Linked DNA regions of Arabidopsis thaliana. The protein of the gene in region 3 purifies or fractionates together with the protein of the main gene of each other region. This does not show direct contact. Each region holds a gene or a part of one and is shown on either strand. Other genes may lie near its edges.

Region 1 (6,393 bases), 380 kb from region 3:
TATTTGCAGTGGAAGTCTCTTCCGTCTACTACAGAAGAGCACGTCAAAACTGGATTGGAGGCGGCGTATCCATATGGCCTTGGACATTGTAAGTATTAGTTGCACATTCACTTGACATGTAACTTTTCCATTTCTATGAGCATTGGCAGTTGCATGTGGACAATGTTCTAAGTCTGAGCTACTCTATTTGTTTACTTCTTTGTATTTGTCTTGTGATCATTCTTTTCCCCTCCTATTTGACTCAGTCAACGTACATCTCATCCAGCATATTACATGATTCTTCACACAGGCTCGCGGTATGAATTATCTTCACCATTGTAGTCCACCCATTATCCATCGTGATCTGAAGTCATCAAATCTGCTGGTAGACAAGAACTGGACCGTTAAGGTAAGATATTCACCTTGAGACACTTTTACTTTCCTGTAATCTAGATGGATGATGATCAGTGAATCACTACATAGCTTTCTAAAACGAAAATTTAACTTTAGAGAAATAAATCGTCTTATGTGAATGAACTGGAATAGTAAGACTCAGATCTCCAAAATGGAACTAGTAACATCGTCAACTTACCTGGATATCCCTACAGGTAGCTGACTTTGGTCTCTCGCGTATCAAGCATGAAACATACCTAACCAGCAAGTCTGGGAAGGGAACGGTACTATACCTGACTCTTATTGATTTCAATCTTCTTTTCTAGTCAATCTCTCACAATGATCTTGATTGAATTTTTACTTGTTCTGCAGCCTCAATGGATGGCACCAGAAGTTCTTCGAAATGAGTCTGCTGATGAGAAGTATATTCTTGTATTCTGTTTTGTTAAGTTCCCTTGATTAATTGTTCTTCTTTTCCTTAAACGTTAATTAGCTCTTCTAATTCGTTGATACAGATCTGACATTTACAGCTTTGGAGTAGTATTATGGGAGCTTGCCACCGAGAAGATCCCATGGGAAACTCTCAACTCTATGCAGGTATCATTTTTGATAGATAGAGAAATAATAAGAAAGCGTCTCCAAGTGACACTTTGTCCTAGAAATCTAAAAATCGGGAAAGTTTCACTTAAAAACTACATTCTATGTTCTGTCAATTATGCTAAAACAAATAACTAGAATCTTTATGTCAGAAGAATAGTTCCAGGGTCGATATGTTAAAATCCGTTGTACTAATTAAGACTTGAGAGTTAAGAGAGTGGGAACCATAAAAACGATTGTACTTGCTGTAAAATGTAAAGATACAAGTGAAGTGTGTTCTTTATATATAGTCATACTATACCACATCGCTACGAATTTGATGTCCTAACTCCTAATTCCATTGCACGACTTGATTGCCGAAAACTTCCAATTTCAGTTTCACTGCATATCCTCTCTCTATACACGAATCAAGTATGACGAGATGCTTATTTGAAATATGTGCAGGTGATTGGAGCTGTGGGGTTCATGGACCAGAGGCTGGAAATCCCAAAAGACATTGATCCTCGTTGGATCTCATTAATGGAGAGCTGTTGGCACAGGTACATTAACATATTGAACACTGCATAATCCGTGTGTAGCCTTTAATTATTATGGTTCTCCTTGATTTAGGTGTTCTACATGTTACATAGCTGATGCTGACATTGATTTGTGTTTTTATTTTGGTCTGTCCACGCGGCAGTGATACAAAGCTGAGACCCACATTCCAAGAACTGATGGATAAATTAAGAGACCTGCAAAGAAAGTATATGATACAGTTCCAAGCGACTCGTGCTGCGTTATCTGACAATTCTCTTCTCAAGGACAACTAATTAAAATAAAAGTTGAGCCTTTTTACCTTTTTGTTCCTCAATGCCATGCTTCAAGACTCAAAGACGTTCATGAGAACAGAGAAAGATAGAGAATGGGTCTGTTTGAGCAGTAGTACCAGTGGGTTGATGTGTAATTACAGCGTGGAGGAGACCTATAAGCAGAGACTGCCACTGAAATTATGGGAGTTGTGTTGTGATGTATTTGGGTCATTACACAAACTACCAAAAGAAACGTATTGCTCAGGTTAGTTACTGTAATTCTGGTGGTCGGTTCTGGTCTCTATTTCTCTGGTGGAAGCTTAAAGAAAGTGCGTGAAAGGGATTTGATGTGAAGTTGCAAAGTTGGGTAGGTTGGGCAAGAGATTGGATTGCATATATTATTCTTACTAAACATTTATGCGATCAAGTGTGGTAGAACCATTTGATGATATTTTGTACAGAGGAAAAAAAAGGGAGTTTGGAACTCTAGTTCTGAGAGAATATTGTAACACCAATTTTTTTTGGAACAGACATTTATTGGGGGATTTATGTAATCTATACCTACGTTGAAAGGTTGTCAAATTAGAAGTTATCACTAACCTACAGGTTGATCAACAAACTTCTTGTTTCAATGAATACCTTCGTTTGGAAGTTCTCGTTGTGCATCAGTCTAATTCAAACTTTTTCTAGAAACTTGAATGTATTTCTATTTTGTTTTGCTTTGAAGTAGTACTGTACCAATGTTCCATGATTATCCCACAAGCTTTTTACAGCTCCAAGACCAAGTAAACGAAGAACACATTCTTATATCTTGATAATAAGATTGAACTTCAAACTTCAGGTAGAACCACAAAACACCACCCCAGAATCGATTGTAACTGTATTCAGGGCTTCTCAGAGAGATCGGTTCAGCAATAGACAATTTTAACTCGGTTAAATATTAGGAGACTTGCTCTCAACCTCTCAAACATACAAAAAACCTTGGAAGTAAAGAATGGTCCTGCTCCATCATAGAGGATATCGTGAAAGCAATTGCCTAGTCGCAGCAACCGCATCACCTTTGTGCTCCCTTAGAGTTCTTTCCGCCACATTCTTTTCTATCTGCTCATTTACAATGGTGACAAACTTCAGAACTTTGTGAACACATGCATAGAAGAAGCTAATAAAAAGAAGCTAACCTCAAGTTCGTTTACAATAAACTCAACATCTGCAGGATTGATCTTCACAGAGGCCAGTTCTTTCTCCCTGCATAAAGTTCCAATACTTTGTCAATCAAATACAACGAAAAGTCTAATCTTTTCCGAAAGATGATATTGACTCGTAAATCACATTCAATCACTTATTAATAATAAGTTCTACTTGTTTTGTTGATCATTCTCGCTGTGTTTTCTCTAGTAAAAGCTATTACAGCACAACTGATATCTGGCGTCAATACTATCTAGATGTGAGTAATTTCAAAAAAACAAACAGATTCTCCAAAATTGACACTCTTGGTCTAAATAGATAGACTTAAGTGTTGCCAAGCCCCAAAAAAACAGATAAACACCAATTTGTACAGAGAGATTAGCTACAGTTTGAACTACAAGTGTAACGCAGTAATCAAATTAATCAAGTTAATTCTGAATTAGGAATGGAAACAAACGAGTTTGACTTATGTTACAGCTTCATTAAGCATTGCTAATAATCTCCTATTTCAGAATTTAGAACACGGGAAAAGCTTAGAGTTTTTACCTCAACCTCTTAGCATTCAGATCAGCCTCCCTAGAAGCAGCAATCGAAGCCATAGCCTGAAACACGATACCGACTTTTCAATTTACTAATCGAGCTAAAAAAATTTCGGAATTCCTAATATTTTCAGAAATCAGGACACGAAAGAGTTACATACCGATTGAACACGAGAGGAATCGAGCTGGCGATCCTCGACACGATCGGTGAGCTTGTCGAAAGCTTTGCTTTGTTGCTGCAAGTCCTTTGAATCAACCGCTATCTCAGCCCCAGCTTCCTCTGCTCCCTCCATTGCTTCAATTTCTTCTCTTCTCTCTTTCGACTTCTTTCAGTTTCGGTGAAGAAAATTTCCGGCAACAGAGATTTTGAGGTTCGATAGTGTTTCAAGCTTCGACGTTAGAAACCCTAAAGGCTAATTCTATCGGGTGAGGCTGGAACCAAACCGGCTAAACAATACCACAACCGAACCGAATTCCGGTTTAGTAGGTTAATTTTGCGATGAGCGAGAACGATCTATATTGGGCCTTGAATAAAAATAGTTATCGGCCCTTAAGCCCATGTAAGAAGCGTACTACAAATAAAATTATCTTGCTTGATAGTTTTGTAGTTCACTCACTATTTCACATTTTCGAAAACTGACAAGCTCCAAATTTGAAAACATTGGAGAGAGATGAAGGAAATTCAAATTCCCAGGAAAAGCTTCGCGCGCTCATCAGAACTCGGAGCTAAGAGACTCAAGGATCCTGAGATGAAGAATCGGAAGGTAATTTTATTAGATCGATCCTTAAAATCGCCATTGTTTTCTTCTTCCCACATCGTTCTACTCAAATTCGAATCAATGCTTCTCTGAACTGAAGGTTACGACGGAGAAGAGACAGATCGCAACATTTTCCGACGTATCTTTTGAAAGCACGAAGGATCCGATGGATTTTAGTCCGATCTCTCAGATTTCTGGTGCGATCTCTGATTCCGAGGCTGAGGTATATGCTTCGCTCCAATGTTTTAGTTAGGTTTAGTTTCCATCGAAGTTTTTCGTTGTGTTGCTTTGTAAACGCTCAGATCCGTTAAGATTAGATGTTAAATTTTCGAAAATTGAATCGATTTTGTCTGCGCTTGATGACGAATTGGAAAGATTAAACCTCAATTTTAGCCATTATGTGTCTGGGTACTGATTACTGGCTCGAATTATGTTGTTCTCTCCTCAGAGTGTTATTCAAGGATCGAGCCTAGACTTAATGTCAACCCCAGAGATTTGTCTTCCGGCTGATGATTCTCCAGTTTCAACCATTACTAGTGTGGAGGCTCGTATTGACACGTCTTCTACTGATCGGATCCAGTCGATTGTGGACTTGCCCGCTTCTGTGCAATCCTTGCGTGGGGAGATCAATGAGCTGAAAAAACTGATCTGTTCAGTTGACAATTCTGCAGAAATTAACTGGGTCGATAGAGTTGTTACTGTGAAATTCCGCATTGTGCTTTTGAGTTTCATTCTTTGGGCTATCTTAGCTGCGATTGTGGTCTTCTTCAGCTCAGGAGAGGAACGTGCTTACCGTGGACCACTTCCAACATGATTCTTCAAGGTAATTCACTTTACGTTTCTTACCTTTGTCACATTGATTCTGGTTTCCTTCTCATAGGATGATAACAATAATAATTTCAACGTTGCATAAGATTGGGGTTGTATACTGATCTGCCTTCAATAGCACATTTATCCTGTTTGTCATTTTATGTTGCATCTCTGCTAATGAAGGTCACAGCTGTTTAGTTTAAGTTGGCTATTAGCACCTCTTGAACTTCAACACTATTAACATATTTCAACTACTGGGATGTGTCTACCAAAGGAAAGATCAGTTCTAACATTGTTTTTTATTTTTTTTTTAGAATTCACTCTTTAAAAATAACTGCAACACACGTTCTCTAGTAAAAGTAAGTACAGATATCTCAGTGAAGTCTTATGCGGTTGAAATGCTACCTTCTTCTCTCTGTGTCCTTTTTGTTGAATGTTAAACTTCCTAAGCCTTCTGATTGAATGTTTTAAATTTAGCTCATGCTAGGCCCAAACCAAGTAGTCTCTCACTAGATCCATTGGTAGGTTGAGAGTGAGTTTGCAAGTAGGCCTCATAAGCAGCTAGTTAGTCTCATTCCTAAGTCCTAACCAATGATTGATCCCTAAAATTTTATTGGCACAACTGATATGACACTTGATCGTCTCATCTATGGTGACTTGTGTTATCCAAATGCAAAGTCTTCTCTCCATCACACATTTGATACATAGGCTTCTGTAGCATTTAAGTTGCTAGGTTCTAATATACCTTGATGTGTTCCATTCTTAGCTCTGTTTGATACAATGTAATGCAACCCCACCTAATTTATTTGCTTCATATATATAGCATGCTTGTTTCTATGTGCATCTCAAATCGATAGGTTATATAGATCTTACCAAGACATGTGCTAGCCTTTGTTTCCATTCTCATGCAAGCTGTTCTTTACATTTTTGTATATTAAGCCAGACAAATCCTATGGAAAGTCCAGCCTGTTAAGCTTTTTGGGTAATTACTTGATTTGATCTTTCACAACTATTAGGATAAACTCTTCGAGGTATTAGGTTAGGTTTATTCTCCATTATGGATAATGGTACAAAGATTAGGATTTAGAAACTAGTCCTGTATATAGAAAATGAATGACAGAATAATCCAGACTGGTGTTTGGCTTTTCTACTGGAGATTAATATAGTAGTAGGCCACTAAACACCAGAGAATATACTAATATATGCCATGTATTAAAGAGAAGCAGCTCTTGTTGGTTTACTTTTGAAGTAAAGTTTCTGTGTGATTAAAGAAAAATCCGGCTTAGTGATTTAAATTAGTGGAAACCAATTAGAAGAGTTTTGTTTGTTTCTCTTAATCAGTCT
Region 2 (10,486 bases), on a different chromosome or scaffold from region 3:
TTCAAACATGCAACACGTATAATTTATAGTTTTGTATTAAAAAGAGTTCTCATGTTATATATCGATATAACAAGAATCAACTACCATAACAACATGACAAAGTACAAGAAAAACTCACTCCATCATTAAAACTCTTGTTTGGAAAGAAAAAAACTCAACCGGTGACTAAATTTTTACTTTCTTTTACTCTTTAAGGAAATACAGAGAATGGTGACAAACAAACAAAACAGTAATTTAATACAGAAAATTGACTAATCACGCATCAGTCATCACATAAGTAGGCGTGTGAAATATTGAGACGTGGAAAATCAAAATGTCCCAAAAAGGCCATGTGTGGAAATCCACGTAACAAGAGCATCATATTCAATTATGTATTTTTGTTTAATATTCTAAAACAAAACTGTTTTTTTAAGAGTTTACCAAGATTAATTAATATCTAAAATTATGCTAAACCACTTCAATTTTTTTTGTTTTAAAGCGATGTTATTTTTGTTACTGCACATATACAACAAAACAAATTACGTATATATAAACAACTAAGAACTCTCGTCCGCCTAAATTCGGTTTAAACATCCATGTAAGCACCTATTGCGGATTAGAGGGAGCATCGATCATGTGACATAGTGTGGCTCCATTATCTTTAAAGTTTTGCCGGAGTTAATTATTTATGACAAAATTGGTGTACTTTATTCCAAGATTTAATAATATTTTTTATTATTTATTTGTTTTACTTAATAATACTTTTTATTCAAAAGTGTAAACACAAAGTAACAATGCCTATGCTGTTTTTTTTCCTATCAATTATTTAACCGCTGCATTTGATTAGTATATATGGAAGGAATATTTAACTACCGATTATCACTTACGGTTGTTAATGACAAATTTTTACAAGTAACAATTGATTTGAAAAAGGTCATTCAGAAAATCATCGCTAGTCTGCCACAAAATTCAAATGTGTTACAATGTATCATAGTTAACTACAAAATCCTTTATTATAACAATAATGGGTTGACCACTATAAATCCTTTATCTTGTTTTATACATTTCGGAGGCTAATTGACATTTTGGTCTGAATATATCCATGCATAATTAAAATTTCGAGTAATATTGTCTCAATATTCCTTCCATATATACTATGAATAAACTATTAGAGATTTTAACAAACCCTAGAAAGTCCAAAATACGTTTTTTGTGAAACATACGAAGAAAATAGATAACATATATGAATAATATGCGTAGAAATATTGACGAAAGTGACGAAATGTAACAGTTTTCGTATCATGTATACGTGAATTTCCATGTCAGGAACCGCTACTAGAATTGATAAGGTCAAAAGATGAAGCTCATCGTGACATTCCACCAACCGAAAGTACTCTCACCGCTTCACGCATGACCCAAATATATACAAAAGTAGAAAAAAAAAAGCACAAAAACAACGTGTAGAGGCGATAATCATAAAATTGAGTTCTTATACCTATACATTTGAAAAGCTTGATATAAAGAAAAATATGTATCATAGACGGATATATATAGCTCGTGTTGCGGCATATATTGTCAGTTAGTTCATGCCTATTGATTGATTTATTTGTGTAGCTGTCTCTTTGACGAATTAACTCAAGTTGGTATATTGTTAATTAGTTTTACCAGCTACTCACTTTATTGTCGATCTAGTGCTTACCAAACTAATGGCAACTACAAATTAAAGTCGTCTCCGTATATTAACGTATTTTTCAATTCTATTTACGCGTATAATATATCTTCGTCAACTATTGTGGAGTAGATCTAAATAAACAAACAGCGGAAAACTAAATAAATGTCATAATATGTAGGCAAGAAAACAAAAGAGCCATTAGATAATGTGTGTCTTGTATTGTATTTATTGAATCTTACCACCGAAACCGACATATCATTAGAGTTTTAGTAAGCACGTCATTTTCAGTTAGTAGGTTGGAAAAGAAAAATTCTCATCTTCAATATGAAAATATAGGATGAGTATCTTTTTATGAACGTTAATCGCTTAGTTGTGGTTAAGTTATTTAAAGTAAATTTTAATCAAGTTAGGCAGTAAAAAATAAATAATGAAGAATAACTATCTTCTTTACAATATGCAATTTAAATTTCTATAGGGAAATTATTTTTCGGTTATAGTAGTAGCACAATTGAATCTTATTGATGTATTTGAATTATACTAAATATTTTCATTGTATCACCCAATAAAAAGCTTTAATGAAAGAGACCAAAATTAGGAGGTTAGATATTACATAATCATCGTTAATATGCAATCAATATAATTCATGAAACGAGAGAGTTAAGAATGAGAACGTCGTTTTCTAATGTGGAACAGAAATCGCATATCCGTTTTCGTAATAGCAAGGCCCATCCCTTCTCACGCGCTACTTTATCCGACCCGATCCAACCTGATCCGGATAATATAACGAATTATGGTAAATCTTTGAATTAGTGTTAATTAATATTGTTGGCTAAAATCTAACTAAAATACTACAACTTGCTATGGTGATGTCAAAAACTGCATTTCATCCTATTAAAGGATGCCACGTGTATTTATCTTATTAAGTCCATTACAAAATGTGATCTTTTTACCTATAATCATGGATGATAATTTTTCAATATATTAGTATTTTTAAACATATTTTGAAAAATTATTAATTCTTATCTCAAACACCACTTTAATCATTAAGAAGCTCCTTTAATTTTCCCTTCGGAGTTAAATTATCCTTTTCACTTTAAAAATTAGAAAGTCTTGCAAAATAAGAAAATTTCTGAAACTTATAGATAATTGATTTGTCATTTTCAACAAAAGTTCTATTAATCCTCCTTTCATAAATATAAAAAGATGAAATCCTTTTCTTCATGGATAAAAGTATATTTGGATATGATATTAATGTTTAATGACGTCATTAAATAGTAGCAATTAGTAATAATGAATAATGATGACAATCATAAACAGAACTTGAAGTTAACAATTTTAACACTGATAAAAACATTTGGATAAATCTCTGTATCCAAGATTTACATGTTCCAACAATATACGCTACTATATATATATTTCTTACTAATTAAAATGAGTTTTAATGCTAATCTATGCTAATCAAAATATGAAAAATACAAAGATATTGGTTAATCGATAAATACAATAAATCAGATTAACGAAGCCCTCTGTTCAACAAAGAGGCTTCTCGATCTCGTCCTTAATTCCTTCCTTCTCTAAGCCAGCTGTTTTCTTCTTCTTCTTCTTCATCTCTCTCTCTCTCTCGTCTCCTACTCTCTCTTTGCTCGGACCAAAATTTCCTCAAATTCCTCCTCTGTTAATCGCCGGCATTGTCTTTCTTACCGATCCGACTATCTCAGCATTCGAAATCTCCGGCGACAAAGCCTGATCTCAAGGTTAGTTGCAAATCGCTTTTTTATTTTCCCTGAAATTTCTCTGATCTCCGTCCATGTCGGTTTAGTTTTTTATGGTCGTGAATTTTCGTTAGAGCTGGCTGCAATTTCGTTTGATCTGATTTATTCTTACGCCTTTGATTAGCTTATCGTTCGTGAAGCGGTGAAAATGCCGGTGGAGGTAGAGAGAGACCAAGGAGAGGTGTCGGTGAAGGTTGATTTTGAGAATGCGACTGAGATTAAACCGGAGGTAGTTGTTTCGGCCACCAAAGAGGACGTGGTGAATGGGATCAGCCATGGTGGTAGTAATAATGGCAACGGGAACGATACCGATGGTTCTTACGATTTCATTACGGAGAATGATACCGTTGGAGATGATTTTGTAGAGTCTGATTATGTTAAGCCTGTTGATGATGCCAATGTGGAGAAAGATCTTAAGGAAGGAGAGAATGTGAAGGTAGATGCTCCAAGTATTGCCGATGATGATGTTTTGGGAGTTTCTCAAGATAGTCAAACCCTGGAAAAGTCTGAGCTAGAAAGTACAGATGATGGACCAGAGGAAGTCGTTGAGATCCCAAAGTCGGAAGTTGAGGATTCTCTTGAAAAAAGTGTCGACCAGCAGCATCCTGGTAATGGGCATCTAGAAAGTGGGCTTGAGGGTAAAGTGGAATCTAAAGAGGAAGTGGAGCAACTTCATGATTCTGAAGTTGGATCCAAGGATCTGACAAAGAATAACGTAGAGGAGCCTGAAGTTGAAATCGAATCTGATAGTGAAACAGATGTCGAGGGACATCAAGGGGACAAGATTGAAGCCCAAGAAAAATCTGATCGGGATTTGGATGTTTCTCAAGATCTAAAACTTAACGAGAATGTAGAAAAGCACCCTGTTGACTCAGATGAAGTAAGGGAGTCTGAGTTGGTGAGCGCTAAGGTTTCTCCAACTGAGCCTAGTGATGGAGGCATGGATTTGGGACAACCTACGGTAACAGATCCAGCTGAAACCATCAATGGATCTGAATCTGTGAATGATCACGTCGGATCAGAACCTGTAACAGTTTTGGAACCTGTTTCTGTTGAAAACGGTCACCCTCCAGTAGAATCAGAGTTGGAGAGAAGTAGTGATGTTCCATTCACTTCAGTGGCGGAAAAAGTCAATGCTTCCGATGGTGAAGTGTTGCCAGACTCTGGAACCGTGGATGTTGTTGTATCAGAGGTAAGCAGTGACGTCCCTGCTGAGACTCAAGCTCTCAATGCCATCAGCTTGGATTCCCAGCCTTCTGGCAAAGATAGTGTTGTTGAAAATGGTAATAGCAAATCAGAATCTGAAGACAGCAAGATGCAATCGGAAATTGGAGCTGTTGATGATGGCTCTGTGTCTGATGGGAGTATAAACACTCATCCAGAATCTCAAGATGCCAGCGATCCTACTTGTGATCAAGGTGGAAAACAACACATATCATCCGAAGTTAAGGAAGTTCTTGATGCCCCTGCTTCAGAAGAAATAAGTGATGCTGTTATTGTTGCCAAAGATAATGGTTCAGAAGCTGCTATTTCTGATGGCTTATCTTGTACTAACCAGCAGGGATCAGAAAGTGATGAGATATCTGGGCTAGTTGAAAAACTCCCATCCCATGCGCTACATGAGGTTGTGTCTTCTGCGAATGACACGAGTGTAATTGTAAGCGATGACACCAAAAGTCAAGGTTTATCAGAGGATCATGGAGTTGACACTAACCAGACAATTCAAGATGATTGTAGTGCTGAGTTGGAAGAAGTTACCGATGTGAATGTAAAACATGCTCCAAATGAGAAAGTTCAAGGAGACAATAGCGAGGGGAACTTAAATGTTGGTGGTGATGTTTGTCTAAATTCTGCTGAAGAAGCGAAAGAATTACCTACAGGGGATCTTTCTGGGAATGCATCACATGAGAGTGCTGAGACTCTCTCTACAAACATCGACGAACCATTGAGCTTGTTGGATACCAAAACTGCTGTCTCTGACTTTGCAGAAAGCTCAGCAGGAGTGGCTGGCGAAATAGACGCTGTTGCCATGGAATCTGAAGCTGCTCAATCAATTAAACAATGCGCTGAAGCACATGTAGCTCCATCCATTATTGAAGATGGTGAAATAGACAGAGAAGTCAATTGTGGTTCAGAAGTGAACGTGACAAAGACTACTCCTGTTGCTGTGCGCGAGGATATACCACCTAAAGAAGTTTCTGAGATGGAAGAATCGGACGTCAAAGAAAGATCTTCGATAAATACAGATGAAGAAGTCGCTACTGCCTCAGTTGCATCTGAAATCAAGACCTGTGCACAGGATCTTGAATCTAAAGTGGTTACATCTACTGATACCATACATACAGGAGCTAAAGACTGTGTGGACAGCCAACCTGCTGAAAACAAAGAAGGTAATAAGTTAATTAAAAATGAAATTAGGCTATGTACTTCTCTTGTTGAGAATCAGAAGGATGGAGTTGACAGTATATATAAATTGTTGTGTTCAGGAAATGTTGTTGATAGAACAGATGATAAAGTAGCCTCGACCGGTGAAGTTTCTGTACTTGATGCTTCTGAAGGGCTTACTGTAGCGGCAGAGATAGAGAAAAGACCTTTTTACTTTCTGCCTAGAGTTCCTAGATATGATGATGAAAAGTTAGCCGAGCAACTGAAGCATGCTGAAGAGCAGGTTGATCAGAAAACACAAAATCGGGATGCTCTTAGAGCGGATATCCAGAAGATACGCGTAAGAAACGCTTTTGAGATTTTCATATGCTAAAACATCTTTGTTCTAAATTTGCCTCTGACATTTTTTGAAATTGTTATTTCTAGGCAATATGTAAGGACTATGATATCAGTTACAAGGCGGTCATGGCAGAAGAGAGATCTGCAAGAAAAGCAATGCATTCAAAACGGCAGGAAATTGAGGCCCTTCAGTCTATGATTAGCCGGGTTAAAAGTGCTGCGTCTGTTGATGATATTGATTCAAGGGTGAGACTCCCAATGATCACATTTCCAGCTAAGTTTTGTTCAAGTTTTTAGCTTGTCTAATTTGATTATGCTAATCTATCTTATTTCTCTGCCTCCAATCAGGTGCGTAATATGGAACATACGATGCAGCACACAACTTTATCTCTGAATGAAGAAAAAGGTTTCATGCGTGAAATAAAGCAGTTGAAGCAACTTCGCGAGCAGATATCTTCGAGTATGGGTACCAAGGATGAAGTAAAGCAAGCATTGGATGAGAAAGAGAAAACAGAAGAACGTTTGAAGGTACACTACAGTTTAAACGTCCTAGCAGTCATCTTTTACGTCCTATCTGCATTTAGTTACTACCCGTTCTCTCTCTACTTTGATTCAACCTATTTATCCGTTCAAGTGCATTTATGTCATCTATTTGCATAATGTCCATTCGGGTGATTTAGTTATCTCATCCTTTATGTGTGGATATCATTTACACATTTCAAAACTGACTTTTCTGGTGATAACAGGTGTTGAGGAAGGAACTAGACGCACTCAGAAACGATCTATCAAAAGCCGAAGAAATCACAAAAGCTGCGAAAAAAAAGTGTGATGGGGAATGGGAAGCACAGAGTAAACTGCAAGAACAGTTCAGAGCTGCTGATGCTGTTCGCCAGGAAGCATTTGTGCACCTACAGGATTTGAAGAAACAACAACGAGAAAAGGTACCCAAAGAGCATCTGAAAGTGGACATAACTTACAAATGTTTGCATCTGAGGTTTTTATTAAATCCTTCACTTTTACTATTTTTTCGTATTGCAGAACAAATATTTCTTCAAGTACAGAGATAATTCAAGGGCAGCAAGTGAAATGGCTTTGAAGAAAGACAGAGCAGCACTGCAAAGCCTTTGTTCTGACCAGGTATAAGCAGAAGCCAAATTTCTACTACGTTTTCAATCCCTGTATGTCGGCTTTGTACTCATTTCAGTCTTTAAGCAGGTGGAGAATTTCATGAATATGTGGAACAATGACGACGAGTTCCGTAAATACTATGTAAAAAGCAACACAAGGAGTACCTTTAGAAGACTAGGAACCCTAGATGGACGATCTCTTGGCCCTGATGAGGAGCCACCTCGGATCACTTATGCTCCAAGAACGGACAAACTTAGAACTTCTAGTGACAGAGCAGAGAAACATGAGGCAGTTCCAGCACAGAAAGAGAAAGTCGTTAAATTTGAAGGTTCAAAAGTTGAAAACAACGGTAAGGAGGTTGCTAAACCCACCGAGCAAAAGAGTCAGACCACTAAATCTAAAAAGGCCGTCAAGCCAGACCAGCCTCCATCAATTGTCACAGAATTGGTTTCTGGAAAAGAGGAGATAGAGAAGTCAGCAACACCGGAAGAAGAAGAGCCGCCTAAGTTAACAAAAGAGGAAGAGGAGTTAATTAAGAAAGAAGAAGAGAAGAGAAAACAAAAGGAAGCTGCAAAGATGAAGGAGCAACATCGGTTAGAGGAAATAGCAAAAGCGAAAGAGGCAATGGAGAGGAAGAAGAAGAGAGAGGAGAAGGCAAAAGCAAGAGCTGTTCTCAAGGCTCAGAAGGAAGCCGAAGAAAGGGAGAAGGTAAAAGCATATTTTTGTCATTCTGTTATCCAAATTGGATTTCGATCAGTCTCTCTAGCTAGTATGTTTCTGTTGGGACAAAAATTATTTTAAATACTATGCCATGGATCTGTTGAACAACTCTGTCTATTTTGTAGGAACGAGAGAAGAAGCTAAGGAAGAAGGAGAGAAGAAAGGGGATTTTTACATCAGAAGAGACAGCAACAGAAAACCCAATTCCGACAGCAGAAACTGTAGTCGAAACCCCAAGGGAGATCGAAACTCCAAAGAAACAAACCGTAGAGGAGAGTCAACAAATGAAGAAATCTCACAAACCTTCATCACAGTTTCTGAAACAAAACAAGTCAAAATCGGTTCCTCTGCCTTTAAGAAACCGAGGAAGCAAGAGAAAACTGCGGCAATGGATGTGGATTGGACTCATAGTTGTGATCATCATCGCATTGTTCCTTCTCGGTAATGCCAATCTCTCCTCTCCTGCAAATCTTTGGTTTACATAAGAATAAAAAAAGAAAGAAGAAGTGGCACACTCTTACACACTTTGCCTTGTGCTTTTTATAGTATGTTTTTTTTTGGCTCATCTAAATTAGTTTGGATTGTGGTTGGTGCTTTTATTCTTTTTTCTTTTAAGTGGGGAAGCTTTGATTCATTGATTTCACACGAACGACAGACATATAGATTGGTTTTGCTTGCTCTGGGTATATATGTCTAAGAAACACGGTTCCAGTTTTTTTTATTTTCTAATATACCATAATATATTTATTAAAGCAATAACTTCTTCTCATCTTTTCGATTGATATATAAACTGGTGGAAGAGTCTCTTGTTTTCTTTGTTATGTCACTAGAAGTTCTACGATTGTTCGTTCTTGTCACATAAGTCATCCAGGGGTGGTTCCTCATCAGTGCCAAGAGATCGTCCATCTAGACTTCCCTAGTCTTTTTAAGGACAGAGCAGAGAAACATGAGACTGTTCCACCAGTTTCAGCACTGGATTCAGTCTTATATTTGCCCCTTCATCAAAATCATCTTCGGGATCAAATTTTGGAACAGTCTATGAGGCGCACGAGAACTGCTAGTCGCAGTAGCGCTACGTTTTGCCTTGACAACCGCAGTAGTTTGACTAGAACGCCATAACCAATTGATACGACCGAATGCTAGCATCTTAGCTTAAAGATGACACAATACCCTAACTTCTTTTTAACCTCCTATGACTCGTATTATCCTTTTTTAATCTGACATGAACTCTTTGTTTTGACAGTTAGAGTTCAGAGTTTAAAATTTTGATAGAATAACTAACGGTAATTGGTGAAGTAACATGAACGGCCAAATGGGGACTCAACAATGATCCGAAATGTTGACTCAGCGACTAAATTTAATCCCTTCACATGACCCACAAACTATTTTACTAAGGATAAAATAGTTAGTTGAATATAGTTAGTTTTGTAACATGAAAAACTTAGATTAGAAAAATAGTTGCGTTCAAACGCAGCCGAATCTTTTTACATTCACAAGACACGTGACATATGCTGCCGCTCTGCTGCAGTACTCTTTTTATTTAGTTTTCATGTCCTTCTCATTAACATGAAATCGAAAAATGTCAACTCAAAATAAAATTAAAAAAATGTAAAACCATAATTTGAAACAAAAAAAATTCCCGTAAAGATAATCGTTATATGGGAACGAGGGTTCTTGTTATATATAAAGAAGTAAAGCTCCTTTGAGAGGCCAAAACAAAAACAAAACAAATTAAAACTTTCTAATTGCTAAGCATATATAAGCCACTCAGTACTCACCATTGTTTTCAAATTTCAGATGTGCTTGAAAATTTATTTCCTCAAAGGCTCAAATCTTTAAAATGAATGGTTTAACATTACATTTTATATATCTTAAATCTTTTTTCAAAACCTTCTAAGGTTTTCTATTAAAATGATTTATATGTTTGTTTTTTTGTCTTAAATTTAAGTTGTCAGATCCTAGGTTTCACATCACAGAACAGTCCATTGAAGTAAGTGGTTATGATAATGGAAAATTATTGTACTTATAATATAGTCATGAGTCATGACCACGTCCAATGAACCTTACACTCAAATTCAAACAAAAAAATGTTAGATCTGTAGTACGAAAGAGTTACTCATGAAATTTCTTCTTTTAACGTACAGATGCATTATTGGATGTTTATTAAAACGTAAATGTTTTGTTTGATTTATTTTCAAGTTTTATTCACAAAATTTAAACGTAGTTACGTGTTAAGCGTTTCTTTTGTAACGCGCGATATCCTTCATCTACCATTAATATTAGTAGTACTTGAATAGTTATGGATCAATTTACATATATATTCCAACTCTATCAAACATGAAAAAGATTCGAGGGCATATATATTGTTTATATACGTGTAAAGGTACTCAGAATTGGCAAATTATTTCCTCTCACACAAAAAAAATCCAATCATCTTGTGAACCTTTAGCATAGAATATATGGAGATGGGACACATATATACATAATACAA
Region 3 (7,461 bases):
ACTCATTCGGTTAGACGACAAGGAACTCTTGGCTTACACGTGTTGGGCGCTGGTGTATCTTTCTGATGGTTCAAATGAAAAAATACAAGCCGTGATTGAAGCCAATGTTTGTGCGCGACTTATTGGTCTTTCGATGTGAGTGTTCAGGACTTTAGCTAACCAAAAAAATCCAGAGTCATAGATTCTGATGGCCGTTTGCTTTCTGAACAGCCACCGTTCGCCTTCAGTTATCACTCCCGCTCTTCGCACCATTGGAAATATTGTAACTGGAAACGATAGTCAAACTCAGGTAAATATGCGGCCAGAGATAAAATTTAGTATTAGTATCGCTTTTTAATATAATCCCTGCTCTTTTTCCATTTTGCGCTGGATATTCTACTGTTACTGTTATCTTTGTCAACTAAAAATTCTCAGAGTATTTGATTATTTATCACAAGTGAGTTCTCAGAACTTTTGTTCTTTGTGATTTTCTTAGCATATAATTGATCTTCAAGCGCTCCCATGCTTGGTAAATCTTCTAAGGGGATCCTATAACAAGACCATCAGGAAAGAAGCTTGTTGGACAGTCTCTAATATCACAGCTGGTTGTCAGTCACAGATTCAGGTTAGCCAATATACCGTCTCTAAACTTCTCTTTTTAATCGCAGTCTAATTAAGATGTTGCTCTGAATATATGTCTGCACTTGTTTATTATCTTTCCATAGGCTGTGTTTGATGCTGATATATGTCCTGCACTTGTTAATCTGCTCCAAAACTCTGAGGGCGACGTTAAGAAGGAAGCTGCCTGGGCTATCTGCAACGCCATAGCTGGAGGCTCTTACAAGCAAATCATGTACGTAGAACAAAACTCAATACAAAACCAGGAACCATATAGACCATCAAATATTCAGTAGTATAAATGTAGTCATGAAAAGAGTTCAAACAGCAGAACTAAATCTTATGGGTCTCATTCCATTGAAGCTATTACAACTTTTTTTGGTAGAGTTTTCAGCAGGTCCTTTGATGCGATCTGCTAATGTCTTGACAGGTTTCTAGTAAAGCAAGAATGCATCAAACCGTTGTGCGATCTTCTTACATGCTCAGATACTCAACTCGTCATGGTTTGTTTAGAAGCACTCAAAAAAATATTAAAGGTGGGAGAAGTTTTCAGCTCAAGACACGCTGAAGGTATTTACCAATGTCCTCAAACAAATGTAAACCCACATGCTCAGCTAATAGAAGAGGCAGAGGGACTGGAGAAAATCGAGGGCCTGCAATCTCATGAGAACAATGACATCTACGAAACTGCGGTGAAGATTCTTGAAACATACTGGATGGAAGAAGAAGAAGAAGAAGATCAAGAACAACAAGACATGATATATTTCCCAGTTGACAACTTTGCAAACATGCCAACATCCTCAGGCACTCTCAGTGAGATGCACTGCGGACCTTAAGAGGTAACATATATTTCCTTCTGGTAACTTTACTTGGTTTTTTGCTTACTCATTATGGACTAGATAGGATAACAAGATCCGACCATTAAGGAGTAGACGTTTTGTTCTAGATCAGAGAGTCTGGTTTGGTTTTGTTTAGGCTGAGAGAAACTTACCAAAACTCAAACCAAGCAACTCTGTTTCGGCTGGGTTTAATGAGTTTTACTTTAGTTCGGTTCAGTCTCATATAAAAGCTTCAGCTCTTATTTGGTGTCTTACTGATGATGCAGGACAAGTGGTCTAGGCAAACATACACTCACCTCATCTGTTCATAACATTTACTGCAAATGGAGATTAGAAATTACATTGCTTGCTTTATTTGGTAATGACAATGTTGGTCAGTACGTAGTATTATAGTGGCCTAGTGGATAATGGGCTATTTAATAGCTTGTAATCTGGAACAAACGTTACAGTTCTATATGATCTCTTCTCCACAGATTCTTAAAATCATGGTTAATATATTCTTTACAGTAAATAAATCCATTATAAACTCGTAAGAAGCCAACTTACAAACACTCAATACAAAAGTGATAATGTTTTCCTATGTAAACGCCATAAGAAATAAAAAAGAAAGCAGAAGAGGCTGCAGTAAAAGCCACTGAGCGAGATAGACAACACAGTTCGTTTTTCTCTTCAGGACATTTTGTGGACAGAACACTCCGCAACGCAAAAATTGTGGTGTTCGCGTTTCAAAAGAATTAAAAAATGAGGGATCTCCTTGTGTCACAACAGAATCTCCTTGAGGATTAAGAGTACCAGCATGATGAAGCAGAGAATGACAAGAACAGACGCACACATCACCATACCTCCTTGTCTCTGTGTACGTTCCGCCTGTGGAGATTCACAAGCAATTCCGCTTAAAAATTTAGGCATGAAATGGTGTGAGAGAGTATACACACTGATTGTAAAGAGAAATTTACCTTTTGCAGCTGTTTGAGACCATCGTCGACTGTACTAGCAACGTTCTGGATATTATAGTCAATCCGATCAACTATTGTACCCTGTCACGACAAGTTTGCTTTCAAGTTATAGAATTTCTAGAATCAGTGGCTCAGAAGCTAGACAACAGTTACAGTGTTGTACCTGGTCTATCACAAGCGCTGACAGATCCTTCATGATCTGAGCAAGCTCGCTTACGGATTCAACAACCTGCAGATGAAGCAGAACAAGAAGAAAGTGACAAGATTATGATTGTGTATGAAATAGGTAACAATTAAGAGCGGTAAGATCTGCAAACATTAACCTGTTGAATCTCTTTCTCCCTCTCTATTGATATTTCCTCACTCTTTTTTATCTTGCTCATTTGATGCTCACTAAATACCTGTAGTGTCATATATTGCATTATTACAGAAATACATAAGATGAATCATGGGTATAAGATTGGGACAAAGGAGTCATACCATATCATCAAAGTCATCATCTTCTGCTTTATATCTGCTTCCGTTCAGATTCATCTCTAAATCCGCTCCATCCTGATGATCATCACAGCTAGAAGTCAAAACTTCTTGGGAATAAACAAAATGTAATTGTCCTCAAAATCATAGAAATAACTAACAATAGAATGTATGAAACTCATGAAACCAAAATTTTATTAGAGTACAGCTGCATAACAGATCCAAAAACTCGAGAGCAACTCAGTATTACAAATAGTGAAGTCTTGGACATAGGAAATGTATAGTGCGTCATTGCATACCTCTTTTTGTAGTCTCAAACGTTTCAAATATGTAGACTGTTTCTTGCGTAACTCCATAGAAAGGTTTTGGAGATCCGTAGCAAGAGATCGCTGTTATAAAACACATGAGATTTTAAAGTTGAGATGTTGATGGGAAATGAAAGGACATGCGTTTAAGAGACACATCAAGTCAAGTACACCAACCTGGACGTTTTTCCTGACATTTGAATCTTCAGAAGGTCCAGCTGCAGAAAGCCTCTGAAGTTGCTTCTCAGATTTCTTCAATAGGAAGGTAACCTCTTGTGTCAAAGTCTCGATTTGATGTTGATCTTCTTTACCATCCCCAAACGAAGGCATCAACGCTTTCGCATGAGCCTTTCCCAATTCAGCCATTTTGGTTCTTGCACGTTGAATGTAAACTGAAATCTCCTCAGATACATCAACCCAATCTGGTGGTAAGCCCACTGTTATTGTACCTCTACTAGGACATTGGAAAACAAGAAGCAAAACTTTCAACTTCAACAAATTGGGCCACAGAAATATATTCAAGTACTATTCTCTTAATACTCAATCAGTAGCTGAAACAACAAGGCTGAACATCAAGCTACCAATTCCAAATCCATAAGAGACATTATTGCTCAGGATAATACCAAATTTTCTGCTAAATCAACAACTTACTTCAAAAATTCATAATCCAACTCACACTAGCAGCTACATGAAGTGATTAATTTCTAATGCAATCACCAAATTTCTAACATTTCAATGGCAGTGAGAGATAGAGAGGATGAGAAGTACCTCGAATTCCCAGGATCCTCGGTACTGACTGGAGCATAAGACCGATTTGGATTCAATAGAGACGTGCTCGCCATCTCGATCACCGGGCCTAATCCGGATTTAGCTCCGGTCAACGAATTGTGCTCCGTCAATGTCGACGACGAAGACGACCCCATTGGAGCACGAACGCTCCTGAGAGAGTTTCTGTACTTCCTAAACAACAGCGTACGATTCCTAGTCGCCATAACAGCTCAAATATAAACCCTATAAGAATCTCAGTGATAGCTAACCAAGATCTCGGCGTCTAGATGGATTTTAGCTTCCCTTCCGATCGAAAGCTATAGATCTAAACAGGATCGCGGTTTCATCATAGACAAAGCATCGAAAATCGCGCGAAAGAAACGAATGCGACTGCGGAAACCGGCCGATCTCCGGCGGGATCAAATTCTCCGACGGAGAAAAACAGCGCCCAGATTCACAAATTGGAAATTTAACTATAATTTCGAAAATTAATTAAAACATCCAATCGATAAATAAATAAACAGTTGACACAAAAAAAAAAAAAAAAAAAAAAGTCACAAGTCAGAAAAAACATAAGAACGGGGCTAAAAATCTCCTGCTATTGCGTGCATCTTTAACTGCGAAATCTTATAAATAAAACCACTGAAAACACGCCACGTGTCTAAAAGACAACAGCATGACGTTTTATTTGGAAACGTCATGTTTCTGAATGCAATTATACGTCGGGTAAAATAATAAAAACGGCATGCATTTTCGTAGACTTTACAAAAAGAGTTTATAGAGTGGCCCAACACTTTCTTGTTTTTCTATTTTTCCGCGAAATATTTGATTCATCACTGAAAGCAAACGTTTTAATTTCTTTTAGATAAAAAACATAAATTTAAAGAAATAATTTATAGAACTTGTCTCCTCTGTCTCTCACTCTCTATCCAAAATTAATTAAAACGAGGAGAAGAAGAAAAAAAGAAAGACAAAACTTTGTTAATAAACCGACCCAGAATCGTGGTCTTCATAATCTGTCTTTACCATTTTCGTTGGATTTCTTCAGACAGTAATCAGAATCATTTACTTTCGTATACAGATTCATTTTCTTCAAAACGTTTTATTTGTTAAGGAAAAAAGTACAAAACTTTCGACTTTTGTTTTCCGGGTTTTGTCAATAATGGATTCCGATTCATGGAGTGATCGTCTCGCTTCAGCTACGAGGAGATACCAGCTAGCTTTTCCATCACGATCTGGTTAGTTTAAATGATATGAATTTTTTCTCCCTCTGTTCTAAATGATTGTTATCTGATCTTTTTTTTCGTCTGAAAATTGATGGGCGAAGGTAGTTTAGGTGATAGACTTGTGTTTTCTTTCCGATTTAGAATCTCTGTTTTGAAGATTAAGAAATATATGAGAAATCTTCGATCTTGTTTTGAAAGATTTCGTATTTTGTCATTTTTTCATCGCCTTAGGCTTTGCTTGATACTAGCAAAAATGAAGGAAAGGGGGCTTTTGTAATTGATTTTTATTGACTGATGAAATATGGTTTGATTCTGGTTTTGCTCGATTCCTGAGAAAATGGATGAAAATTATCCAAAGTTGCAGTCTTTGTTAGCATTTTAATTACTCCTGTGATGCTACTATGCTCAGTGTTTATGAACATGAGAAAGTGAAGATATTGTTCTCCTCAGAAGAGGAGAATATGTTTCATATACTGTAACCTCAGAGGTAGAGTAGGGGTTTAGTATATCTGATTACTCTCTTTGTTTTCTTATAGCTTTGCTGTATAAATATTTGGTTGATGTGTTTTTGGGATTGCAGATACATTCTTAGGGTTTGAAGAGATAGATGGAGAAGAAGAGTTCAGGGAAGAGTTTGCTTGCCCTTTCTGTTCTGACTATTTTGATATTGTCTCTCTCTGCTGCCACATAGATGAAGATCATCCTATGGAAGCCAAAAATGGGGTAACTTTCTTATTTCTTTTTTAAAACAACCATTTGAAGCATAAAGATGCGTTTATACATTTCTGATTCATCACATGATTCTCAAAAGTTTAGACTGAGCGGTGTTGGTTCCTCCTCTGTTGTTACTTGGATGATATGACAAAGAAAACTGAGAATAATAGCATGTTTATAGCCGATTCACGAAGGAATAGTAGGATCAGCTGTATCTATTGCATCTGATATTTGGGGGATTTTGTTTGGATTCTATGAAAACTTAGCGTTTAATCTAGTGAACATTGTTATTGCAGGTATGTCCAGTTTGTGCGGTTAGGGTGGGTGTTGACATGGTTGCTCATATAACCCTTCAGCACGCTAATATTTTCAAGATATCCTTTTTTTCTTTCTCCCAAGTCATATATAACAATCAATCTTTTCTATCAGTGTTTCTATAGTCTGTTATTAAGTTGTGTTCTTGACAAAATATTACATGCACCGCAAGAGAAAACCAAGAAGAGGCGGGTCATATTCCACATTATCGATCTTAAGGAGAGAGTTTCCTGATGGAAACTTTCAGAGCCTCTTTGGAGGATCTTCGTGTATAGTATCGTCTTCCTCATCATCCAATGTAGCTGCTGACCCATTGTTATCGTCGTTCATTTCTCCTATTGCTGATGGGTTCTTCACCACGGAGTCATGCATATCTGCAGAAACGGGTCCTGTCAAGAAAACAACTATTCAGTGTTTACCCGAACAGTATGCTTACTTCTTCTCAATCATTTTACTTTGCCTAACCTCTTGTTAGTAAAAATCTGGTATTTCAAGACTGATTGAACCTAGATGATTCTAGGTTATTTTAAGTGTTTGGTCTATAACTTTCCATTGGAACATTTGCTTCAATGTTTTACTTTTGGGCACACTTGGGATTTATGAGCCAAACTGAAACTCTTTGATCAAGTTGAGTTCTTATACCCATATAGGACATGTATGGATCACTGATGAAGGTTTTGTGGATGATAGGAATGCGAAAAAAACTTCTCTTTCAGCTGAGGATCACAAGCAGAAGTTGAAACGCAGTGAGTTTGTTCGAGAGCTATTGAGCTCTACGATTCTTGATGACAGCTTATAATGGAGTATCGCTTCTGGTAACTTGTCAGCAATGAGGAAACTCCATGTTCTGTCTCAGCAGGACAAAGTACGAAATTATTGTTTGTGGGGAGCAAATAAAGGAGAGAGATTATGAATGAGTGTAACCTAAGAACACATTAGCTTCTGCGGTTAACGCCCCAATTGCTTGTAGGTCATGAGAAAAAAAACAAAAATGTATGTATTTCACGTATTCGCGTTCAATTATTCGTTTCCAGTTGTTTACTAGGATAAGAATGACCATATATGTTGAAAATTTGTCATGGAAACGGCTTCAGATTTTGTAGAGGCACATTCTTCTGCAATCAGATTTATAGCTTTATTATAGTTTCTGAAGCTCGTTAGTCGTTAAGCTGGGGTATCCCCAAACTAATCAACAACGAGACAAAATTACACCATTTACTGATTGTGATTATCGAAAAACTTAGACACTGAAAAGATATGGTAGGGG
Region 4 (7,696 bases), on a different chromosome or scaffold from region 3:
GCCTGTCATAATGCTGCATTATGAAAAATATGTATCAAAATAAAAATACACAAAACGTAAAACTGTTAAAAAATAGAGAGAATTAAGACAGCAATAGCAAAAGTGAACCTGAGCCAAGAAAAACAATGTCCACAATAGTGTAGAAGGGGGCTCTTTTACATCACTGCATCAATTAAGAATTAAACAAAAGAATCGACTGATTATCATTAACGTAGAGAACATTTCAATGTTGTTTTGTAAAAAGTAAGACCTTATATAATAGATGACAATAATTCAGTGACTACTTCAGTAATGGATTCAGTTGTATACCTTCCTGGGAAACTTCCTGTAGTCCCAATCGAATGTTTCATCTCAACAACTAGTTGCTCCAATATATCAGGCTGGGTAACAAAATAAGTATTAAAACATATTAAAAAGTAAGGTGTTGCCCAGATCAGTGAAATTGGAGACAGCAAGCTCAAGGACAAAGCAGGGAACTAACCTTGCGAGGGTGATCATACAGAGAAGAGAGATCAGAAAATAATGAAGGAACACCCTGAGACAAGTATCAAGAAATGTAAGAACATATTCAATTAGACCACTGTCTAAACAAAGAGATTCAAGGGAATGAAAAGATACCTTTGTCAAAAGAGGTTTAATGTACTTTGCTACAGCCTCCTTAAAGTTCTCATCTTGCAGAAAATCCAATGGTATCCTCTGAAATGGGGAAATAGAAAATAACTTAATACCAGTTTTAGAATTTTACGTATCAGCAGCCAAAAAAAACATCAGACGGGTAAAACATGGGTAGCCACTACTAGCTCCCTATGAAGTAGAAGGATACTAGAAAATGTATTACACTTCAGGCACTGATATGCCTTATCTCACCTTAACAGCGGATGACCGAGTGTACTGCTCACTTAGAGACTGGTACAAAGCATTTAACTTTTCAATCTGGTCGGACGAATATTGACCACTTTCTGAATACAATCCAAGGCATTTTTGGAGGCCCTCATGATATCTGAAAAAGCAAGGAATGCACTTTTTATTTGTTTACAAAAAATTGACAGTACCAAAAATATATAGAAGCCTTTGAGAGTAGCAAAGGTATAGACCGCCAATGCCAAAGATAATGAAGCAGGGCAAACAGATGTGACAATTGAGAAAAACGAAAAAATACACAGATAATTTCTTTAGAGCTACTTTGAAGTGCAAGGAAAAAACCTGTAATTGTCAGGGTTCATGGAAAGTAAAACCCTGTAGAGTTTATTGGCTTCTTCTAGACGACCAACCTTTGACAAGAGAGATACCTCTTGTTCTTTGTAAGACAACTTATCAACCTACAAACAAGCAAACGAGGAATGTTAAATCTACTATTATGTGTGCATCCTATTATCCAAATACATTCAACCATCAGTTTTGTGAACTTACTATTTTCGGCTCTTTTTTGTGCAACTCCTCAAGAGCTTTGTCAAAAGAACCACTCTCCTCAAGCAAGGAAACCTGAAACGAAAAAAAAATCCAGATGAGATTTCCTGCAGCTACAGCTATGAAAAATGTGCTAATGCCAACTGTAGGTTGCTCAAACAGGGAAGTTTCAGGGGGAAAGAGTGAACAGAACACCACCACTCCAGGTGGCTTGGAGAGACTTTCCAGGGTTCATATCCAATTATACTTGAGAGAGTTATGCTTTTGTCACAAAAGAATACAGGTGTGATTCACAAAATGTATGATACAAGCAGTAAGCCATATTTTGTATCAACCAACTTGTACTTTTGGTATTTTCGTCAATAGGAGAAAAATGTGTGAAACCCGTTTAGGCAAGCATGATTTTTCAGGGAAAAAAACTTAGAAAGACAACAGTCAATATATGATAGTTGTAAAGTTTCTGGTTGATACCTTGTATAGAATCATTTCTGTGTGTTCAATTAGCTCGTTCTCAGGAGGATAGTCATCCTCTAAGGTGCCTTCATACGCTTCCAAAATTTCAACAGCTTTAGAAGCACTGGTTTCAGGAGAAAATAGAACAAGTTAAGAGATCAAGGTTGATATACATGGCTAGCTTTTACTAGTAAAGAAAAGATGTTCACAGAAAATTCTACTGTATGTTCATTGGTATATTATTTCCTAAAAATCTGATGCAAGATTCGTACCAACATAGGCATCCACTATCTACTCCTTAAAGTGTTCAAGACTATAATTCCAAATCATATGCCATTAACCAGCTAGCCAATAGTCCAAAGAGGAAAAACTAGCATTCCATTCAAATGAGTAAAGTGGTTTAACATATTTAGATTTATGGGGTCAAGGACAATAACATACTTTGCGTTTAAATGCTGAGAGACTGCAAAGCCAATCCAGTTCATTCGGTGATTAGGCTTCAATGTCAAAAGCTGCTGCCTGGTCTCCACAAAACCGGATAAGTCCCGCATTTGTGCCTAGGAAAAAGAAAGTAACCAATATGATTAACTATTGAAAGCATCAAAAGAGATTAAAATTGGAACAAGCTTTACACAAAGTAAAGTGATAAAAAGTATGAAAAATCAGCTTTGAGAATAACTGGCACACCTAATAAATTCACCTCAATCTAGTTTTTCTCATAATTACCTGCAGAAGTGAGAGGTCTCTGAGTATTTCAAGGTTATCAGGATCTATTCTAAGAGCATTTCGGTAGCATTTGATTGCTTCTCTATACTCTCTGTCTGACCGGTACAAAAGACCAAGCACATGCCAGCAAACATGGCTTTTGATATCATTCTGCATGAAAAAATTTGAAGTATATAAATCCTATGTTACCCTGAAAACAAAATACCATTTTGGAAACTAAGGAATAAAGTTGTGATTATTGAAGAGCATATTCAAACCTTCACTCCAAGTCGAACAAGCTCATATGCTTCAGTTTTGCGGTCCATACAGTTTAGAGTCAGTCCTTTCATCGATAAAGTCTCTGAAAATCACAAACAATAAGAGCGACAAGTTTTAAAAGAAAGAAAAGAATAACGAAAAGGGTTGACAAATCAAAAAAAGCAAGAACTGCGTTTAACACGAAACAGAACTGGTCTCTACTAACAAAACTAAACAATACCAAGCATTACCCTTGTACTAAAAAGTTAATTTATTTGCTCTAATAGGAAGAAAGAAAATAAAAATTCTAACAGTGATTGATTCTTAAGACTATAGACAAGACAACGAAGCGCCTAGTAGACCTACAAGTCATGAGATCTCGGTTGATGTATGTAGTATAGAGTTGTAAGTATTTAGATAGCAGTAAAAAGATTAGCACTAAATCACAAAGGAATAGAAGGAGATATTAGATAAAAGACAAACTGACCTCCATGATCAGGAAACTTTTTTAATATGGCATCAGCTGCCTTGAGTCCCTTCTTGTACTGCTTAGTCTCATATGATTTCTGCATTATAAGATTACTCAGAATAACTATATATGATGTACTTACTTGCGAAAATTACATAAAGAAAAAGGTCAACTATTCAAAGCAGGTTGAACAATATAATGGTTAAACCCAAAATCTATGCTGAAACCATATATATATTGATAAAGCTTGGTTTTCAAGTTCTTCAAAGTAAACTACGAATCCCTGAGCGACTAAAAAAGCCCAGAAGCAATCGAGGTCTAATAATAGCCGATAGTCAAAAGTAACTGAAGCTAAGAACTTGGTACATCAAATTAACACATTAAGGAACCACAACTCCGCACAGTTTACTTCATATGTCAACGAATTTTTCTATTGACCCAACACATTGACGATTAACTTAATTTAGGGTTTAATAGAGCAGATAAAACTCATCGTATTCCAATTTCTGCTGACCAGGAACATCACATCGCATGTTTAAGACAAAGTAAAAACTGAGAAAGAAAGAGAGGGAATCGGAACATACGACGATGAGCTTGAAGAGGTTGGCCTCCTTAGGAGGAAGCGAAGCCCCCATTTTATTGCGCTACTGAGAGAGCTCGCGAAGACGAAGACGGAGAAGAAGAAGAAGAAGATGTTCTTCGCGAGTTCGATAGGGTGAGAGAGAGATAGAGGTGGCGTACTATCCGCTTCAACCCTACTGCGAAACAAAGAAAGGCACAACTCTCACAAGACAAAACCCAATAAGGGTATAAATAAATTAGGGTCTTGTCTTCAATCAATCTTCTTCGATCCTAACCATATCGGTACATGTTTCCGGTTTCAATTCGTTTGTCTGATATTACAAAACGGTTATTAAATTGGATAGAACCAAACCGGTTCAAAACTGGAGACATCTGAACCTAATTGACCAAATCAAATTTGTATTAACCGATCAAATTCATCGTCAATCGACACTAAAAAGTATCAAATCAAACCGACTTATTAATTGCAACCGATTACATCTCTCAATCGAATCCAAACCAGCATAAATAAATTCTAATTAGAAACATTCTTTCCGAACCAAGCAGACCGGATTATTTCAAATTTTTATCAGTAATAACATCCTACTCAAACCGAACAAACCGAGTATAACAAGAATTCTTGGAATTCCTTAAGAGATCATATGCAAAATGAAACAAGTTTGATCTAAAGACACTCTAAAGAAACGTTCCTATAAGCAAGTTCGATCTCTTCTTCAGTCATCTCAACGGTCATATCACTGTCATAGCCACAAGCAACCCGAGAGGTCGATTCATCTTCGCCCGGTTTTGCTAGCTCAGCTTCGTAGATCTTTTTCCACGACTTTGCTTGTTTGCAAACTTCTTCCTTTGATGCTGTTGAATTTTCCTTTTTAGAAGACGATTCCATCTTTCCAAGCTCCTTCACTACACGAGGGACAAAGCTCCATAGCTCTGTAACTGATCCAATGTCCTAAAATTAAGAACATTCGAGAATAAATTCAACCAATGATCTTCTCAAAGAAACTGATCAAAGTTTAACAAATCCAAAAATGTACACAGGCGGCAACTATTATTGTTCAGACTTCAGAGATATTAACCTGCTTCTGTTCAAGAGAATCTATGGCGTCTTGTAAGCAGGTTAAGACTCCTTCCGCAGCTATTCGCTTGATTTCGCCTGGTTCTGGCTGTTACAATGGCTTTAGAATAACGGAAACATACAATCAAGAAAACATGTCTTTTGAAAGAGCATATTAATTCCCTTACTTTTTCCTCCTGACTCTCAAGCCATGAGATGGTTTGACTTAGGTCATCCCTGGCCCATTTCTTCACCTCTGTAACAAAAAATGGCTCTTTCACAAGATTGCAAGCTGATCTATTCTGTGAACATATGGAAATAAACAGTCATAGACCATTGATTGGAGCAAAATACGGTTCGTTTTGGTTAACCAAATCATCAGATTTAAACATGCCTTGGATGAGGTAGATGGTGTTCCCCTTGTTTCTGTTTTTTTCTCTACTTGCTTCTCTGGTTTTTTAGACAGGTGTTCTCTCTTTTCTGAATACAATCAATTAAGGTTCACAGAGTCAACTAAACATCGGAGTGAAGCAGTGCAATAAGAAAAGCTTTTCTCTTGTCATAAACGTAAAAACAAGGTGATTTGATGAACCTCAGGATGGTTAAAACGGAGATTCTATCTAAAGCCTTTCCAATATAATTCTTTTTACCTCGATTAGCATCTTGGGGACTACTGCTTTTCCTCCATGGTTTTCCAGCATGCATAAGGTATTGCTCGATATCTACCAACTTCTTCTGCGCATAACACTCAGTTATCCACTCCTGGAGACAGTGAAATCATATAAAATATCAGCAAAAAGGAGAAATTCAAATCCGCACACAATCCCTTATAAGAAGAGTCAAAGAGGTAACCTTTGAGATAATTGTTCCACCATTTGTTTCAACTTGACGGAACTTTGGAGTGTTAGGAAAAGCACAAATCAACAAGGTAGAGCCAGCGTTCCAGTCAGGTTGATAGGTGGCTCCCATTGTCAAGGCTTGTGACCTCAGTGTACTCCTCTCAGGATTAACAAAGCCCGAAAGTACAAAAACAACGCCTTCCTGCATAGTTTAACCTTCAACTCAATCACAAAAGCATATAAACTAACATGACAGCTTAAGATAATTGAGTCTCAACAAGACCATGAAGACACACACAAACCATAAGTTTAGAGAATTCAGTGGTATTTGAACTTGGCTCGGCGTGTTCTGACTTGTTGGAAGGGGCATTTCTACTGTTGTGCTCTTCGGTTGGTCCTTCATCCTTAGGCTTCTTACAATGAGACTTACTCGGAGTAATCTCGGGATCCCTAGAACTCATCCAAGAAGGAAGATTTCGCTTCTGAGACATCTTGTCCTTTACAGTGGAGAGAATACTAACACAGCTTTCGTCCTACAAAGAAACACTATTATGAACCTAAGCCACTAGTTACTTGAAACTCCAGGAAAATATTGCTATTGCATCGCATCTAGCACAACACAAAGCCAGAGAGAAAACGGTGCAAATCTGCAAAAAATGTAAAACATTCCCTAAGAAAGACAAATCTTAATACAAACGAATGGTATAACCTTTTTTCAATTTCAACATAAAAAAATCAATGGACAATGGTTTTAACATAACTCAGTAGCACTGAATTTGAATTCGAGTTCAGATCAAATCACACTGGAAAATTGGAATTGAATACCAAAAAAAAAAAAAAAAAAAAAAAGAAGAAAGACATTGCAATTAACAGAACATCGCGAACTTCGCCATAAAACCCTCGAAAACTAAATCTACCCATGTAAATGAGCCAACACAGAGGAGAAGACTATAAACTTGAGAAGAAAGCGAGGAACCTTTAAGTGCTAGCGCTCCCCCCGTGGCTTCTCTTTGATCGAAATCATCAGAGACTATTCAATTTGTCAACATACAGTACAAAATCAGATCAAAATGACGGGTTTTCAATTTAACAAATGATTCAACTAGCAAAGGTGGACGTGCCGGAGTGGTTATCGGGCATGACTAGAAATCATGTGGGCTTTGCCCGCGCAGGTTCGAATCCTGCCGTTCACGCTTTTTTTTACCAATTTTTTGCTTTGACTCTTTCATTCGCGTTTTTACTCTTCTGCCCTTTTTTCTTTTTTTTTGGACATCAACTTGTCTGCCCTTTTAGGATTTCTAATGTTTCATTTTTACGGTGGAGGGGGTTTATGAATTAAAAGAAGTACAAAACCAAGGTCAAATTACCATTACTAAATCATTCCTCGTTTCAATCTTTTTTTCCTAAGTTAGCTCAGTCAAATCCTTCGTATACCTACAATGAGCTCGATGAATTAGACTTAATGCACTGGAGAAGCTAAAGCTTGCAAGGGGAGGAAACATCCTATTTCTTCTGAAATATATCGTATGCTTGTCCATATCATTGATGTCATGATGTGTCATGTCTCATATTCTCGTAACATCCGCAACACAAACCCATCATATATGCTTTTATCTTATCTTTCTCTCGTTGTGTTGTTGTTTTTGCTACAACACAATTCCAGGACTAAGTTTCTGAATATCAATGAGTCTAAACATGTCAAAATTAAACTACGTCTTCACTTTGTCTTTAACGTACCTTTCTTTGATGAAAAAATGAAAAAAAAGTTATAAAAAAAATAACGTACCCTTCTTTAACCGCAAACTGTTTTTGGACTTTTGAACCCATTTCCGAAATTTCAGGGCTTCTTTTCTTCAAAGTTACGTAGTACGTACTAATAATAAGCCATCGTCACGACTCACGTGGTTACTAAATAAGATATGCTTATAA

What was found.
Region 1: the proteins of SYP43 (region 3) and AT3G06610 purify together in Arabidopsis thaliana (affinity purification with mass spectrometry, with the first as the bait; one large-scale study listed by BioGRID). This does not show direct contact.
Region 2: the proteins of SYP43 (region 3) and AT1G20970 purify together in Arabidopsis thaliana (affinity purification with mass spectrometry, with the first as the bait; one large-scale study listed by BioGRID). This does not show direct contact.
Region 4: the proteins of SYP43 (region 3) and EMB2753 purify together in Arabidopsis thaliana (affinity purification with mass spectrometry, with the first as the bait; one large-scale study listed by BioGRID). This does not show direct contact.

The regions. Positions count from the first base shown.
Region 1 is NC_003074.8:2,058,218-2,064,610, reverse strand, and holds AT3G06610 (DNA-binding enhancer protein-like protein), read right to left. Parts: upstream 3,997-6,393; 5' UTR 3,775-3,996; coding exon 3,643-3,774; intron 3,545-3,642; coding exon 3,489-3,544; intron 3,003-3,488; coding exon 2,936-3,002; intron 2,859-2,935; coding exon 2,766-2,858; 3' UTR 2,458-2,765; downstream 1-2,457. Other genes in the region: AT3G06620 (PAS domain-containing protein tyrosine kinase family protein), read left to right, coding at 10-88, 290-388, 588-656, 745-794, 888-969, 1,414-1,508, 1,649-1,778; AT3G06600 (uncharacterized protein), read left to right, coding at 4,153-4,245, 4,340-4,462, 4,688-5,053.
Region 2 is NC_003070.9:7,310,767-7,321,252, forward strand, and holds AT1G20970 (calponin-like domain protein), read left to right. Parts: upstream 1-3,134; 5' UTR 3,135-3,405; intron 3,406-3,547; 5' UTR 3,548-3,571; coding exon 3,572-5,813; intron 5,814-5,909; coding exon 5,910-6,148; intron 6,149-6,234; coding exon 6,235-6,393; intron 6,394-6,495; coding exon 6,496-6,675; intron 6,676-6,893; coding exon 6,894-7,088; intron 7,089-7,185; coding exon 7,186-7,284; intron 7,285-7,362; coding exon 7,363-7,983; intron 7,984-8,120; coding exon 8,121-8,480; 3' UTR 8,481-9,155; downstream 9,156-10,486.
Region 3 is NC_003074.8:1,681,964-1,689,424, reverse strand, and holds SYP43 (syntaxin of plants 43), read right to left. Parts: upstream 4,423-7,461; 5' UTR 4,164-4,422; coding exon 3,940-4,163; intron 3,626-3,939; coding exon 3,349-3,625; intron 3,256-3,348; coding exon 3,166-3,255; intron 2,945-3,165; coding exon 2,873-2,944; intron 2,794-2,872; coding exon 2,716-2,793; intron 2,622-2,715; coding exon 2,556-2,621; intron 2,474-2,555; coding exon 2,393-2,473; intron 2,304-2,392; coding exon 2,196-2,303; 3' UTR 1,867-2,195; downstream 1-1,866. Other genes in the region: IMPA-7 (importin alpha), read left to right, coding at 1-135, 211-289, 476-604, 705-832, 1,028-1,433; AT3G05700 (Drought-responsive family protein), read left to right, coding at 5,102-5,177, 5,746-5,888, 6,176-6,253, 6,355-6,620, 6,885-6,993. UniProt on the Arabidopsis thaliana protein: Contributes to the regulation of secretory and vacuolar transport pathways in the post-Golgi network, and to the maintenance of the Golgi apparatus and trans-Golgi network (TGN) morphologies.
Region 4 is NC_003070.9:30,230,906-30,238,601, forward strand, and holds the start of EMB2753 (tetratricopeptide repeat (TPR)-containing protein), read right to left. Parts: upstream 4,081-7,696; 5' UTR 3,928-4,080; coding exon 3,877-3,927; intron 3,390-3,876; coding exon 3,311-3,389; intron 2,927-3,310; coding exon 2,844-2,926; intron 2,737-2,843; coding exon 2,587-2,736; intron 2,418-2,586; coding exon 2,302-2,417; intron 1,985-2,301; coding exon 1,879-1,984; intron 1,483-1,878; coding exon 1,411-1,482; intron 1,320-1,410; coding exon 1,204-1,319; intron 1,001-1,203; coding exon 868-1,000; intron 697-867; coding exon 619-696; intron 536-618; coding exon 482-535; intron 381-481; coding exon 310-380; intron 164-309; coding exon 109-163; intron 14-108; coding exon 1-13. Other genes in the region: ATXRCC1 (BRCT domain-containing DNA repair protein), read right to left, coding at 4,539-4,823, 4,951-5,037, 5,117-5,230, 5,323-5,408, 5,579-5,690, 5,781-5,969, 6,070-6,258. UniProt on the Arabidopsis thaliana protein: Auxiliary subunit of the NatA N-alpha-acetyltransferase complex. Required for male gametocyte development, embryogenesis, suspensor development and the formation of the quiescent center (QC) in the root meristem.